Linked DNA regions of Arabidopsis thaliana. The protein of the gene in region 1 interacts with the protein of each later gene in a biochemical or structural test. Each region holds a gene or a part of one and is shown on either strand. Other genes may lie near its edges.

Evidence for each region. The genes of interacting proteins can lie anywhere in the genome.
Region 2: the proteins of TOPP4 (region 1) and GEM form a complex in vitro, tested with the Arabidopsis thaliana proteins (one study listed by BioGRID).

Annotation. Positions count from the first base shown.
Region 1 is NC_003071.7:16,623,618-16,631,660, forward strand, and holds TOPP4 (type one serine/threonine protein phosphatase 4), read left to right. Parts: upstream 1-3,598; 5' UTR 3,599-3,812; coding exon 3,813-4,029; intron 4,030-4,345; coding exon 4,346-4,905; intron 4,906-4,983; coding exon 4,984-5,172; 3' UTR 5,173-5,185; intron 5,186-5,380; 3' UTR 5,381-5,795; downstream 5,796-8,043. Other genes in the region: DAR2 (DA1-related protein 2), read right to left, coding at 1-41; AT2G39850 (Subtilisin-like serine endopeptidase family protein), read left to right, coding at 7,009-7,092, 7,207-7,298, 7,402-7,493, 7,682-7,913. UniProt on the Arabidopsis thaliana protein: Serine/threonine-protein phosphatase that possesses phosphatase activity toward para-nitrophenyl phosphate (pNPP) in vitro. Acts as a positive regulator in the gibberellin (GA) signaling pathway to regulate plant growth and development.
Region 2 is NC_003071.7:9,539,343-9,547,395, forward strand, and holds GEM (GRAM domain family protein), read left to right. Parts: upstream 1-1,785; 5' UTR 1,786-2,180; coding exon 2,181-2,517; intron 2,518-2,617; coding exon 2,618-2,719; intron 2,720-4,592; coding exon 4,593-4,864; coding exon of another isoform or gene 4,865-4,900; exon of another isoform or gene 4,901-5,247; coding exon 5,248-5,436; 3' UTR 5,437-5,696; downstream 5,697-8,053. Other genes in the region: PFK5 (phosphofructokinase 5), read left to right, coding at 6,328-6,653, 6,732-6,819, 6,891-6,964, 7,047-7,158, 7,262-7,357, 7,445-7,546, 7,626-7,700, 7,821-7,961 and 1 more.

The sequences.
Region 1 (8,043 bases):
GAAGAAGGAGAAGAAGAAGAGGAAGAGGAAGAAGAATCCATGAGGATGGAAAAATGGCCCCCACGTGATTAAATATACTTGAAAACGTGTGAGTAAAGCGAAAACGACGGCCGGAGAGAGAAGCAAAGAAGAGAAGAGGAGGAGGAAGAAGAAGGAAGAGGGGAGAAGAAGAAGAAGTTATAAGTCATTACAATTTGTTATTAGAGAATGAAAACATAAATGAAAAGAGAAGAAAGAAAGAGAGAATCTTTGCAGAAGAGATCGGGCAAAAAAAAATTAAAAGAGAAAAAGAAAAGGAAGAGATGCTTAGCTTCTGAAAGGAAAGGAACAGAGAGAAAGAGATGTTTTTTTAAGAGAATATTTTTGTCTTTTTGGTTTTTGCTGAGGCGGAAGAATCCTTCAAGCAACGGTGTGGGGAGGAGGAAGATAGTTGAAACCTTTTAAGCTTCTCTCTTTTTACACTTTATTTTTTTTTTTTTTGTTGGGGAGAAAAACCAAAAAGTTAGATTTGTAAACGAAAGCAAAAAAAAATTCTTCTTTTTGGGTTTTGATGGAGACGCTCGTTCCATCGGCTCTAACTATTTGCCTTTAAACTTTGGTTTTGTTAAATTTTCCTTGTTTTTGTTTTTATGGTCTCATACCCTCACCGAGTTTTTAATGAATCTATAGCTACATTGAAGATATGTCATTTTATTTTTTAACTAAAACTTTAGTTTCAAAATTTGTATGATTCTTGTAATTGTTTTTGGGTTTCAAATATCCGACTCATGAATCCATGAGAAGTAGTATAACAATGTTTGCACTATACATAATATGGGCGTATTAACAAAGGTCATACTCTAATACACGATAAAGATGCGCTTTTGCAACGTTACCACAGACAACTTTATAATGGGAATTAAGCTTTTATGACATTACAAACGACGGACCAATAATAATATTGTTATTTATAATTTGAGGCATCAATCTATAGGAAGGTCGTGACCGGTGATGACGCAGCAAAGGTGAAAGAGAGGCTTCAAAGTGGAATCAGACACCCAATTTTTACAGAACAAAAGCCTAACCTATTGTCATGTTTAAGTTCTTTCTTTCGATTAAATTACCTTTTTTTTGGGATCAAATTAATATTTTGGGTTAAAGACAGCATCAGATCAAATCTAGCTTTTTTCAGCAACAGTTTCCACCTTGAGATCTGACCATTTCTTTATCAACTTGCTAAAGTCGATCTCTGTATGGACGATCCATAACTTATTTTCTATTAAGGCTGCTTGTTTTTGGGAATTCTCATTTAAAGAAAATGCTTATCTTTTCTTTTTTCTTGTCAAGTTATATATTTTATCTTAAGTATCTATACCCCCAAAGATGTTTACTTATTTTTCATCATGAAAATGTTAAAACATTTTAAGCATTTGCGTTAGTTTCCTATTACATCATTATATTCCTCAGTTAATCTTACAATTTTTTTTGTGAATGTAATTAATCTTACAATTTAAAATGTCTGAACAAATGTATTTGTTCTAGACTTCTAGTTCAACAAGTATTTATTTCTTGTTAAGAATGACTTTTTAAACGATCAATCTTTTTTTATTTTTGGTAACATAAAAACGATCAATCTTATTGAAACTTTCCTACACATGGATCAAGTTGTATTAGTCTGATACAATTATTGTAACAAAATAAAGTATATATATATAGCGAAGAATTTAGCTGAGTTTGAGTAGCCGATGCAAAAATGCTGCATATGTCTTTATTCCTTTAATCACCTAAAATACAAGAATTTACTTTCTCTTATCTCATGCATGAGACATCTTATCCAAGTTGTTATAAATCTCTAACTTTGTATCTGTAAAGATTTTTGTAGTAAAAAGCCTTGAGAGATGAGAAACGTGGAATTGAGTTGGAAAGAATGACTCAAAACCTTTACAATATTCACCCAAAAAAAAAGAGAACTTTATGATCGTAAAGAAAAGAAAGGAAAAGAAAAGAGACGACTATTTTCCATTGCATTGATGGGCTCTTTCAAGCCTCAACATACGGATCATTCCGACTTAATCCGGTCCATAAAATTTGCATTTGCATGTTTAAACGATATTGACTTTATGACTTTATCAACCAATGTAGGCCACCACTAGAGTACCGTACCTAGAGATGTTAATGATGGGTTAAAATCCACTGGTACCCAAAACACACATAAAATTTTAAGCTCATAGATCTATTTTTTCTGGAAATAAAACACAGGTTTAAAATGGGCTGGGTATCCAAATAAATAAAACACATATGGGTTTACCTCATTGGGTTATGGGTACCCACGATTTTTTTTAAAATCATTTTTCAAGTGAATCAACATTTTTTTGTCAAAAAAGATTTCACATTTTTTTCTCCTAAACCGCGATTTAACAGTTTACCACCAAAAAAAAAATCAACATTTTCCCGCCAAAAAAGACATTCAAAATTTTCCCGCCAAAAACGACAATCAACATTTTCCCGCCAAAACGCAATTCAACATTTTCGTGCCAAAAACGACATTCAACATTTTCCGCCAAAACGCAATTCATCATTTTCCCGCCAAAAACGCGATTCAACATTTTTCCGCCAAAAATGATTTCACATTTTCCCGCCAAAAACGCAATTTAACATTTTCCCGCCAAAAACGACATTCAACATTTTCCGCCAAAAAGATTTCACATTTTTCGGTCAAAAACACAATTTAACATTTTCCCGCCAAAAATGATATTCAACATTTTTCCGCCAAAAACGCAATTTAACATTTTTCCGCCAAAAACGACATTCAACATTTCCGGCCAAGAAAAGGATTTGACATTTTTCCCGCCAAAAACGCAATTTAACATTTTTCCGTCAAAAAACGCAATTTAACATTTTCCCGCCAAAAACGCAATTTAACATTTTTCCCATCAAATATATATGTAATACAAAAAATAAATATAATTTAAAATATATTTATAAGCAAAATATAGATACAACATACATATAATAGTATATTAACAATTAAACATAAATTATAAGAAAATAATAAAAATCAAGTTGGGTACCCACAGGTAGTCTCGGAACAATCAGGTTTTTTCGGGCTTTACCCACTAAATCAAAAATCCATCTGGGTTTTTTAAAGTTGGGTTTTTGGTGGACGGATTTATTTTGGATTCAGGTCGGGCTGGGCTTTTTTACCCACAACAACATCTCTAACCGTACCAATTCATTTTCTATGTAGAATTACATAACTATAGTTTTTCCTTACAAAAAGGATGAAAAAATTCTGGTAAATGATACATTTTGCATCCTTCGTGTTCTTATAAATATACTAAACACATCATTATTCACACAACTATAAGAAGAAAAAAATAGGTACGAAACATTGTTAATAATCCCAAATGATTGATTGAAGTTACCACATTTATTCTTTGAATTACTTGTTAGGTTGATTAGTACACAAAAGTAACACGAACCTACTAAACAACTTGTTAGATCTCATAAACGGCCCATTACCGATTAAGCTAAAGCCCGTTTTGGAATTTCACTAAACGACGTCGTCCTGTATCCCTCATCTTTTCTTCTTTAACTTGTCAGTTATTTTCTCAGTTTCTTTTATTTCAATTTTCAAAGGTGTTAATTTCGTCCCCATCTCCGTTTCTGATACTTTAATTAATACTCATTGAAAAAATCAATTCGAACTAAAAAAAATCTCGAAAGTCTTTGCGCGTAATTTTCTTCTTTATTTTGTTCTCACTGATTATTTTGCATTAGCTCTTTTCTTTTTTGGGGTCGAAAAAATTAGGTTTTTTTTTGGGATTCTGTTGATGGCGACGACGACGACGACGCAGGGGCAGCAAACGGCGATTGACTCGGCGGTTCTCGATGATATAATCAGGCGACTCACGGAGGTCCGGTTAGCTAGACCAGGAAAGCAAGTCCAGCTCTCTGAAGCTGAGATCAAACAGCTCTGTACTACAGCTAGAGATATTTTCCTTCAGCAACCCAATTTACTTGAGCTTGAGGCTCCCATCAAAATCTGTGGTATCTTCCCAATTTGATTCGTTGATTTTAATAATTTCGTCGGAATTGATTTTAGGGTTCTTATTGTGTTTCTTAGATTTTCCAAAAGTGTGAACTTGGTTAGGTTTTGGGGATAAAGTTGTTAGACCATTGTGAGACCTTTTTGTTTGATGTTGTGAAGTGACTAGAATCTGAGTGAGAAATGTTTTGGCTTTTTGTGGATAATGATTGAGTGGAGAGGCTTATCTTGTTGCTTATGATACTGTGTGTGTTCATGAAAAATCCTATCCCGTTCTGTGATTTCCTTATGGTTTGTGGTGTACATGTCTTAAACCAGGTGACATACATGGGCAATATAGTGATTTGTTGAGGCTATTTGAGTATGGTGGCTTCCCTCCTAGTGCCAATTATCTATTTCTTGGGGACTATGTGGACAGAGGCAAACAGAGTCTTGAAACAATATGTCTCTTACTAGCTTACAAGATCAAATACCCTGGCAACTTTTTTCTACTAAGGGGAAACCACGAATGTGCTTCTATCAATAGGATATATGGATTTTATGATGAGTGTAAAAGGAGGTTCAATGTGAGAGTATGGAAGGTTTTTACTGATTGTTTTAACTGCCTTCCTGTTGCGGCGCTTATAGATGACAAAATATTGTGTATGCACGGTGGACTTTCGCCGGATCTTGACCATTTGGATGAGATTAGAAACTTGCCGAGACCAACTATGATTCCGGATACCGGGCTTCTCTGTGATTTGCTCTGGTCTGATCCTGGGAAAGATGTTAAAGGATGGGGAATGAATGATAGAGGTGTTTCATACACCTTTGGTCCAGATAAAGTTTCCGAGTTTCTTACGAAACATGATTTAGATCTTGTGTGTCGTGCCCATCAGGTAGATATTTTTCAATCATGTCTCTTTGATACTACTGCTTTTGTGATGTTAACAAGGGAGTTGGATTTTTTATGGCAGGTCGTGGAGGATGGGTATGAGTTCTTTGCTGATAGACAACTTGTGACGGTGTTTTCAGCTCCTAACTACTGTGGTGAATTTGATAATGCTGGTGCGATGATGAGCGTGGACGAGAACCTTATGTGCTCGTTTCAGATTTTGAAGCCCGCTGAGAAGAAGACCAAGTTCATGATGTCCACAAAGATTTGATACTTTCATTGAGGTTAGTCAATAGTCTGTCCTTGGCGGAAACCAAAACGAAACTAGTGAATGAAAGGATTCTCTTGCACTGATTTGTTCATGTTATTCATTACAAAGTCAAGTTCACATTTCTGTTGAACATGATTTCTTTTGGATTCTTCCAGGCTAAACTTTTTACTTAAATGGGTCTTGATTTCGGCTTTTCCTTCTTTCACAGATGGATTTGGTCTTTCTTGAGAAATTGATTGAAACCATTGAAGATTTGGCTGTGAAGTGTGTACTTATGGTAGTGAGAACTCTTGGAAAGGAGCAAGACCTTCTTAGTCTTCTAATCTCTTTCTTCCCCCAAATTCACTTTCAGCATTTTTTTTCTATCTTCTTTTATGGGTTTTACATGATTTTCATCTGCCTGTTGGGATCACATAGTTGGTGTGTACATGCATATGGTCGTTTCTTGGATTTTAGGACACCAAATGAAAATGATGTTATAAAAAAGGTTTAGTATGATGAGTTTCGTCTCTTAAGCGGCATGTGAAAGTGAATGAGACATAAGTAACGCATATGAACATCTTCAATTAACCATCATAAATATCGAATGAGCATCTAAATTGGACAACAAGTTTCACACATGTTCATCATGTTTAAGTAAAAGAAGAATTTGAGAAGCTATTGAAAGTAAAGTCCACTGGTTTTGGTATGATCGTGAGTGAAGTGATATATGATCCGTTTGGTGGACTCGGGAAATAGAATAGAATATAATAATTGGAGGGACTGAAATTTTATGTTGTTCTTTGTTGTGGATGAGAAGTAAACACGGAAGCGATAAGTTCGTAAAAGTAACTTTTTTTTTGGGTTGCAAACGGGAACCAAAACCACATGTATCCAATTCTTTAGACACATATCATGTCATTATCCTATCTTTGAATATGTTCATATTCTTAGTCCATTTCCTCACCAGAAGATGTTGGACAAAACGTATCCTTTGATCATAGTATCCTCAAACATTTCCTACATAGTATTGTGACCATGTCATATTCTTCTAGACTTCCTAGTTCCTACATAGATTATGACCATTTCATACTATTCTCAAAACTCAAACAAACAAAAAAATCAATTTTGAAATATAATTATTTCTAATTTTCATATTTTTGTAAATTGAATACACAAGCGTTCGTCGTATACGACCATTGTTTTCAGCGTGTAAGTTTAGCAAAAAAAAAATCTTAAAACTTGTGGTTCATTTGGAAAAGTAAGAAAATATACACGAACGTAATAAACACAAACAAACAATTGAAACATGAATGTACAGGTTTAGTGTTATTATCTGACCACATTGTGCGCGAGTGTGGACCATGTGGACGTTATAAGTTTCATCAAACCAAGCATACATATATATGTGCGTCAACGTAGACCCTCAAGTTTTCTTGATTTTCACTCGAATCAATACCGTATACTCATGTTTTATCGTAACATAGAAAAAAAAAAAATCATGGACTTTCTCAAGAATCACCAAAAAAAGCATGCAGCTTCATAATCGAAGAATAAGATTCTTTAAATTGATTGATGAGCGTCTGCACTATGAAATGTTTCGATTTCAATCTTCTCCTCCAATTTTCTTCTTCATTAGTCCTTTTTCGCTCCCAATATCCTTCATGAAATTTCTCTATAAATAGAGACATAAAGCATTAACATGCAATGCAACAAAACTTAAGAATATTAGAGTCAAATAAATTTTAAAAGAAAGTTGACAGTAAAAAAAAGCCTTAAAGAAAAAGAATTAGAATTAGACCTTATAAAAAAAAAAAAAAAAGAATTAGAAAGATTGTTCTGGTGAGTGAGTGAGGGATGGCTATAGCTTTTCATACCTTTCTTCTTCAACTGCTACTCTTCTTCTTTGCTTCTTTTGCGGAAGCAAACGACTCGCGAAAGGTGAGAAAAAATGGACCTTTCTTCTTTAACTAATAGCGTAACGTTTTTTTGGAGATACATATAACGACGAATGTTTGAATTTTAACATATAACTTCTTGCTTTCTATGGTACAGACATACCTTGTGCAGATGAAAGTTGGTGGACATCGATATGGGTCAAGTTCCGGTCACCAGGAACTACTAGGCGAAGTTCTTGACGACGATAGGTTTGATTTTAATTATGCCTTATTCTTTAAGTCATATAGGTTTTGATGAGATATATTGGTTCAAATTTCCCAAGAAGCCAATCCTCTATGTTAACACATGCAGCACCTTAGCGGATGCATTTATCTACAGCTATAAGGAGAGCTTCACCGGTTTCTCGGCAAGTCTCACACCAAGAGAACGGCAAAAGCTGATGAGTAAGACCACAACTGTTTCGTCACGTTTGCATTTCCTTTTTTTTATACAATTGATCAGTACAATACTATAACACGCAATGACGTAAAAGCCAAAAAATGTAGAATTATAGCCTACTGCTATATAGATTGATATCAATGCATAGTAGGGACGTGGTAATAACACACGGGTTATGTTAATGTTGATATAGGGAGAAGAGAAGTATTGGAAGTTTCACGTAGCAGAAACCTAAAGCTTCAAACGACAAGATCATGGGACTTCATGAATCTAACATTAAAAGCTGAGCGAAATCCCGAGAATGAGAGTGATTTGGTTGTGGCTGTCATCGATTCCGGCATTTGGCCCTACTCTGAGCTCTTCGGTAGCGATAGCCCTCCCCCTCCTGGTTGGGAAAACAAATGCGAAAACATAACTTGCAACAAGTACTATAATAAACCTTTACTTATGATAAAACAAAAATATGTATGATTTTCTCTTTTCAAGATGACATGGTTAGGAATCTTGAAAGTTGGAATTAAGTATGAGAATTAATCTTGCTATCATAAACTACAA
Region 2 (8,053 bases), 7.1 Mb from region 1:
TATTTAAGTTCATATTCATATATAGTATGTCTATCAAAATTTTCAACTGTTAATTATTTTAGATGTATATTATAATCGTTTCTGTTGAAAAAAGTTATTTTATATGTTTCGTTGTAATGTGTTATCTGGACTGATTATACGAGCAAGGGCTGGCAAAAGCTGTCATATTTTCATGTTAATTAAATTAATAAATTAGTAGATCATTATAGTTATATTTATGGTTTTTATTTTGTTGCAATATTCTAGTGACAGATTACTTGGTGGCCATTATTGTTACAAACTTACAACGAAACAGTCAAGCAAACGCGCATTGTTCATATTCTACAGCTATATCATTATTACGGTGTGAAATGCTTCATTTCAATAAGAACCTACCTAACAATTATTTATATTCCTTGAATAATAAATTGTTAGACTCTTGCTTTGACCTTAATATGCATTGTATCAGTATCTTCTTCATAAGAAAATTATAAGTTGAAAACTTTTTTCCTGCCAGCTTTGACCAAATGAATATATTAAAAAGTTACCAATAAAGAAATTTTAATTAATTTGATTAGTAGTACAAGTTTGGACGAGGCCTTGGCAGGCCTCTCTTTCTAGCTTTTCGTGGATGTGGCCTAACCTCGTAACTTTTCGTATTTTATCAAGCCCAAAGTAGCTTTCCGTTATCACTTATATGAAAAAATCTAAGATCTAAGGGGAGTTATTGATTAGTATTTTAATTTATAATCTATATACATTAAAGAAAATAGAACATCTTGAAACCTCTAAATAAATACACCGTGCTTAAAAAACTTCACGAGATATTCAATTGATTTTTTTTTGTTTAGAATATTAAATAATCAATACTCCATTAGATGTCATTTACCCAAAAAAAAAAAAAAAAAACTCCATTAGATGTTATTATTGTAGATTGTACCAATAAACTCTGATATATAAGTCCAACAAAACTCCATTAGCAGTAGTGTTGGTAAGCTCCCCATATTCTTGGGCTTTAGTTTCAGAAGATTTCATGTTATCCGTCGGCTTAGTTTATGGAATTATCTTGTTAATCGCCACTTTTATATAATTTCATATATAATCTATCTTTTAGTGCAAAAAAAGTAAAAAAAATAATTTCAACGAAACTCAAGTTTGGAACCGCAATCCAATTATTTTAATCAAATCATTGACTACCGAAATATTTTTCCACCTTCAAACAATCTAAAAAGAAAAATAATTTTTTTGATCAATTCACCAACGTTATTTAGTTTATAAAACATGATAAAAGATCCTCCAAAAATATAAAACCTAGACTTTCCTTAAATTTTAAGAAGTGTACTTTTGTTCACTCAATTTATTATTTCTCTGCCAAATTCTCTATATTCTTCACACGTAATTACTATCTAGTTCTCGTCCATTTCCTTTATCATTTTCTCATTGTCTTGTAAATTGACCACTCTAATGATCTCTATTATTTCCTCTAGAATAGAGTATGATTTATCTCCAATCTATCACTCTATATATAGAGTAATCCTACAATTTTCTCTATTTTAAAGTAACATATAGAATGAGGATGGAGAGAATGTACTATATCATAGAGTTTTAGAGGACAAAATTAAAGTGGGATTGGAGATGCTAAGTATGTAAATTTGGTTCGGTTAGCTATCATAAGGGACCGAGTGCTATATGACAATGTATTATAGGTAAAAGAAGTGATATTGTCTCCTGTAGATTTAGTGTCCTTAACCGTTCATCAAATCTATGTGAATCTCAGTAGTAGGTAGTTGGGTGAAGAACGTGTGAAGTCTATACAACTCATATTACTCCTCAAACATTTTCTGATAATATATTGCATACATTGAACCTCTTTTTAAATTCAAAACATCAAAGGTATTGATCTTACATAGAAAAAAACATAGACTCTTATGTTCATGTCCCTATTGATCTTAGTCATACCTCATAATTGTCTAACAAAGAAAATCAAAGGTATCATAATTATCATCATATGTAATGTAGGGAACAAATCTGTATTTACTGGTATATATATATAACACAAAAAAAATTACCAAAGAAAAAAAAAGAGCAAAGGGAACGATACCATTAGTCCCAATACCAATCCTTGCAAAATTCAAACTCAAACAAACCGTTTATCTCACGCGCCGCCGTACTCGCCACGATCCGTCTTTGGAGACCAATTTATGGAGCCGCCGAAGGGAGATACCGTAGTGAAGACTGAGGTCCCGGTGAAGGATCCATCGCTAAGCGTCGTCGATTCGAAAACGAAGGGAGTCGAGGATGCGAACACTGAGATAGCCTTGTCCGATGAGGTTGAAATCGAGACGAAGGGAAGCGATTCGACACCGGTGAAAGCTCCGAGTCGAACATCGTCTGGATCGAAGAAATCTGTACATTGGAGCCCCGAATTGGTGTCTGGATCTCAGGAACCGGATCAGAAAGCTGCATCGTCTTCTTCGGCTGGATCTAATCCGTATATTGCTCGTTCTCCAGCTGAGACTTCAGATGCTTCGTTGAAAGGTAAGAGTGTTGTGATCGTAGCGGTGAGAATTGAGATTGTGTATTGTAGCCTTATTTACCTTTTTGTGGATCTCTCTCTGTGTCTGTGAATTGGATTCAGATACGATGGAGACTGTGAAAGGAGTGCTTGGTAGATGGGGAAAGAGGGTTGCAGAAGCAGCAAAGAAGACGGAGAGCCTTGCCGGGAACACATGGCAACACCGTAAGTTTTCGTTTTTTTTTAATATCAATTTGTAATCAAATTCAATGCTTAGAGTTCTGTGGAATCAAGAATTGTTCATAGGGTATTGTTAAAAGTAGCTTGTTCTACTCAAAGTCTACATTTTTTTAGAGAAACATAAAAGATTTTTTTTGCTGTATTATGGTTTTCTTCCTTTGTTGTATGTTGGTGTTTAGGTTAGTACTGGTTTTAGGATTGAGTAACTATCATCATATTCGATAGTGCTCAAGTGTATTTTTATGATCTTCAATTCTTTGATCTCTTTTCAACATGTTGTTGCTATAAAATGGGACGTTCTTACTGGCTTGTGTTGATAAATTTTCTTAATTACAAACAGAACACTCCCCTGAATTTCAGTCTTTAGGCAGTACATTAAAAGACAATGACCTTTGATCTTGTTGAGTTCTTGCTAAGAATAGTAAACGGACTATTTTAGTTATGGAATCATATTGTGTTGGAAGAAATATCTCGGTTTTTCTCAGGTTTATCTTCATAAATAGTTTAGAATCACAATTGTTCTACGTGGATCTCTTGCCTTCGATTTGTCTCCAGAACCAAGATTAATACCACATCTGCTCGGTATTAGAGGATGATCTTTTGATATTGTCAAGTTTGTGATCACAGTAATTAAAAAATCTCTGTCTTGGATTTGAACAAGAAGATTCTCCCAGTTTCAGTCTGTCAAACTTTGTAGCTTGACCCATGACAAGTGTTTATAAGAGAGTCGGAATAACCTTAAAGCTGTTTTTTCTCTGTGTGATGTTTGCAGTCAAGTTTTTAGTAGATTGTCTGGTAACAAATAAAATATCAGATTGAAATTAGGTGCTCTGGATTAGGTATTAGTTGCCATGTTACTTCTTTGGAACTTGGAATTTTAATGCCTTTGGTGAACATTAATCAAAAACGCCATTTGACGAATTAAGAGCTGGATATTAGTTTGACCTTCGGACATGGTCATTCGTGATGTAGTCTAAGTAGTAGGGAATTAGCTCCTAGTTTTGAGATCAAAAAGCCTTTTTGCGGACTGAAGAATTACCACTCTAATCAAGTGATGTTCTTGGTGGTTTGGTGAATGTTTGAGCAATGGAGGTGGAGGGAAAATGTCTGATGACTAGCTAAAACTATAGAAATTGGGGAATTAAGAAAGTTTACACGATTAAATTTATGTTTAGAGTGTTCATGTGTGAACTCTATAACTCATGTCTTCCTTGATTGGGTGTGTTTTAGTTGTCCGCTTCTCTAGCATATTCTATTCAGGATTCGTTTGAGTGATCTCTCTTACAATCTTCTACTTTAGTCAGTGAGAACTGCTCCAGTTTTTTTGTATTTCATATCATGTTTGAATCGATCTTCTATGTTTAGCATTGTTGGAATGGATGTTTGCGCTCAAATATAGTAGATCTTTTGTTAAAGAAGTGAAATATTGAATAGATGCTCCGGAACAGATAGAGTTGCTATATTGCTTTTAGGAACTTGGATTAGATAATACATTTGGATGAACATTAAAAAAAAAAGAAGAAACAGCCTTTGGTGAGTTAGGAGCTAGAACTGTGGATATGAGTTTCAGCTTGGGACATGGTCGTGTTATGGATAGAGATGAGTTCCTGGGTAAGTGTTTGAGTAATGGAGTTTGAGGGAAAATGTCTAATGCCTGCATTTACATAGTATGGACGTAAAGTTTGAATTTGGGTGACTGAGAAAAATAACATGATTCAATATACGTTTCAATTGTTTGTGTGTGAACTCGCAATTCATCTCTTCCTTGATTGGATGTGCTTTACTTGTTTGATTCGCTAGCATTTTCATTCAAGATCTATCTGATTGATATATCTTATAATCTTCTCTTTTTAATCAGTGAGAACTGCTCCGAGTTTTGCGGATGCTGCAATGGGAAGAATTGCACAGAGTACAAAGGTCTTTGCAGAAGGAGGATATGAGAAGATATTCCGACAAACCTTTGAGACAGATCCCGAAGAACAGTTGCTAAATTCTTTTGCATGTTACTTGTCAACATCAGCTGGCCCAGTTATGGGAGTTCTATATATATCCAGTGCCAAACTTGCTTACTGTAGTGACAACCCTCTCTCCTATAAAAACGGTGATCAAACCGAATGGAGCTATTACAAGGTAATGTGTCCTACACCTTTCATTTCAGAATTATAGCCATTTTGAAGACACCATATTATTACTTTTGTGATCATTAACTGTTCGAAATCTGTTGGCTGGTTATCTGGTCAATGCTTGAGACAATGTTTCGTTATAATTTGTTAGTAGCATCAACTAAGGAGCCTTCGTAGAGTGATTCATTTGGATAGAAAAATAATCTGGACTTGTTAACGGAATCATAAATCCATGGACTTTTTTTTTGTGATAGTAATAACATGATTGCATCAGCTTCTCATCTCTTGTTTCATCGAAACCAATCCGATACGATTGCATTTGCTTATTCATTGTAATAAGCTTTGCTACATTGATGATTGATGAACACTTTGTGTCTTCTTCTTAAATAGGTAGTAATTCCATTACATCAACTTAAAGCAGTGAATCCATCAGCGAGCATAGTCAATCCTGCAGAGAAGTACATACAGGTGATTTCGGTAGACAATCATGAGTTTTGGTTCATGGGTTTTTTAAACTACGACGGCGCTGTCACGTCTCTGCAAGATTCTTTGCAAGCCGGTGCTTTAAGGTCGGTGTGATACATAACTGGATGACTGATGACCATAAAAGCATGTTGATCTCCACCTCTTCTTGCTTAGTCATATCAGAAGACTCAAATTTTTACATTATTTTGCATTTAATCTCAATATCCTATTTACTACAGAAACTAGCTGAATTTTACAAATTTACTTTAAAATGTTTTATCTTTTGATATTTTTATGAGAAGACAGCTTAATTGCAATTTATTCAATAGCAGTTGCTTTTAGTTTCTATGTTGAAGAACTCTGAGGTAGTAGGATCAACAAATGTGAATTCAACACGTCCCAGGGACAACGGACTATTAGAACCGATTCAAATTGCTTCCACCAGTGACAACTGAAAAATATACCGAACCAGTAGATCTAAGAAACGAAATTTACTCGCACCCATGTACGAAATTGCCGCACAACTTTTGATATTTACTAATTTGCCCCAATAAAGTTCAAAATACACAACTCCTTTGACTTCTGCAAAGCATCAGCTCGAAAAGTATTTTTTTTTTTGTGTTAAAGGGTTTATCAGCTCGAAAAGTATTTCATTATCTTTTCATCGAATCAGATTCAACTTACGAATTATAAGAGCATCTGATTAGGATTTATTCCAAAGATCACTAACTAAATTCGAAATTTATTCACAGAAGTTCTAGTCACTAATTTTGTTGAAGACGATTTTTACATATTTAGAGGCGTGATAAATATTACAGACAAAAAATGAAGTTAGATTTTGTTTCGTACTTCTTCGTTAATCTAAAGAGCCAAAGTACTGTGATCTAACACTGTCGTTGTGTTTTTTTTGTTTTGTAAATTTGGCAAAAACTCCCTCCAAAAAAAAACTTAGTTGACTGAGAAAACTAAGCAAAAAGATCTCCGATCGGAATCTTCTTATTCGCCATGGATGCTCTTTCTCAGGCGATCAGTTCCGGGATCTCCGTTCCTTACAAGAACAATTCTTCTTCTCTCGTTCCTTCTCACGGACTCACCTCCTTAATCCTCCGGAAATCGAGATCTCCGGTGAATCCCTCATCACGATCTCGCGTCTCGGTGCGAGCTTCGGAGATTCAACACAGCAAAACCTCAGCTTCATCGATCGATCTCAGCGATCCAGATTGGAAATTAAAGTATGAGAAAGATTTCGAGCAACGATTCAGCATACCTCACATCACTGATGTCTTACCTGATGCTGAAGCCATTCGTTCAACGTTTTGTCTTAAGATGAGGTCAGATCACTACTTTAGCTTGAGGTACCAGATTCTGGGTTTTGGAAAATCTATTAAATTGGAGTTTTGATAATTTAGGTCTCCGACGGAAGATTTTGTTGGTGGTTACCCTTCTGATGAAGAATGGCATGGATACATTAATAACAATGATAGAGTTCTTCTCAAGGTTTAACTTCAGATTTTTATTTTTATTTTACTGAACTTTGTAAGATTGATTTGGCTTGTTTTGGAAATTAGGTTATTAGTTACTCCTCACCTACTTCTGCTGGAGCTGAGTGCCTTGATCATGACTGTTCTTGGGTTGAACAATGGTAAACATTTGGACTTTCTTTGAGTTTGGATTTGTGGTTCTTTTTTGGTTTTTGGTTATAATTGGTGTGATGGGATCTTTAGGATTCACCGTGCTGGTCCGAGGGAGAAGATATACTTCAGGCCGGAAGAAGTGAAAGCTGCGATTATCACTTGTGGTGGCCTTTGCCCTGGTCTCAATGATGTCATCAGACATGTGAGTTTGTATCTGAAACTTTGGCATTATAGAAACAGTGTGTGTGTGTGTGTGAAGTCCTACTAAAGACCTTTGATTGTTGTGTTGTATGGATACATTGCAGATTGTCATTACTCTTGAGATTTATGGTGTTAAGAACATTGTGGGGATTCCTTTCGGTTATCGAGGCTTCTCTGATAAAGATCTAACTGAAATGCCGGTATTGTTCGATTGTGCTCTTTCGAGAAAAAGGAACCCGAATCTCTGTTTCTGTTTTGGCTTATGGTTTGCTTTTTTGTGCTTTCAGTTATCAAGGAAAGTGGTTCAGAATATTCATTTATCTGGAGGAAGTTTGCTTGGAGTTTCACGTGGAGGCCCGAGTGTGAGTGAAATTGTCGACAGCATGGAGGTATCATTTAGTTTTTTTCAGTCCTTAAGGAACTTTATGAGATCACAGATTCTGAATTCTGAAAATTGAATTTACTTAGGAGAGAGGAATCAACATGCTTTTCGTGCTCGGTGGAAACGGAACTCATGCTGGCGCCAACGCTATACACAATGAGGTTCGTTACTTAACACTTGAAACTAACTAAGTGTAGTTCGTGTGAAGATATTTTTTCTTTTTCTTTTTCTTTAGTTTGTCTAGTTTGATTTACCATTCACATTCTTGCTTTCAATTCTAGTGCCGCAAAAGAAAGATAAAGGTAGCTGTAGTTGGTGTGCCAAAAACCATCGACAATGATATTTTACATATGGATAAAACTTTTGGGTTTGATACTGCTGTTGAAGAAGCTCAACGAGCAATTAACTCTGCTTACATTGAGGTAACTTTCATGTACTCTCATTTAGGATATTCACTAACATGTCTCTTTGCTTTAAGTACTTAACCATTGCTATTTGGGCCTTCTGTATTAGG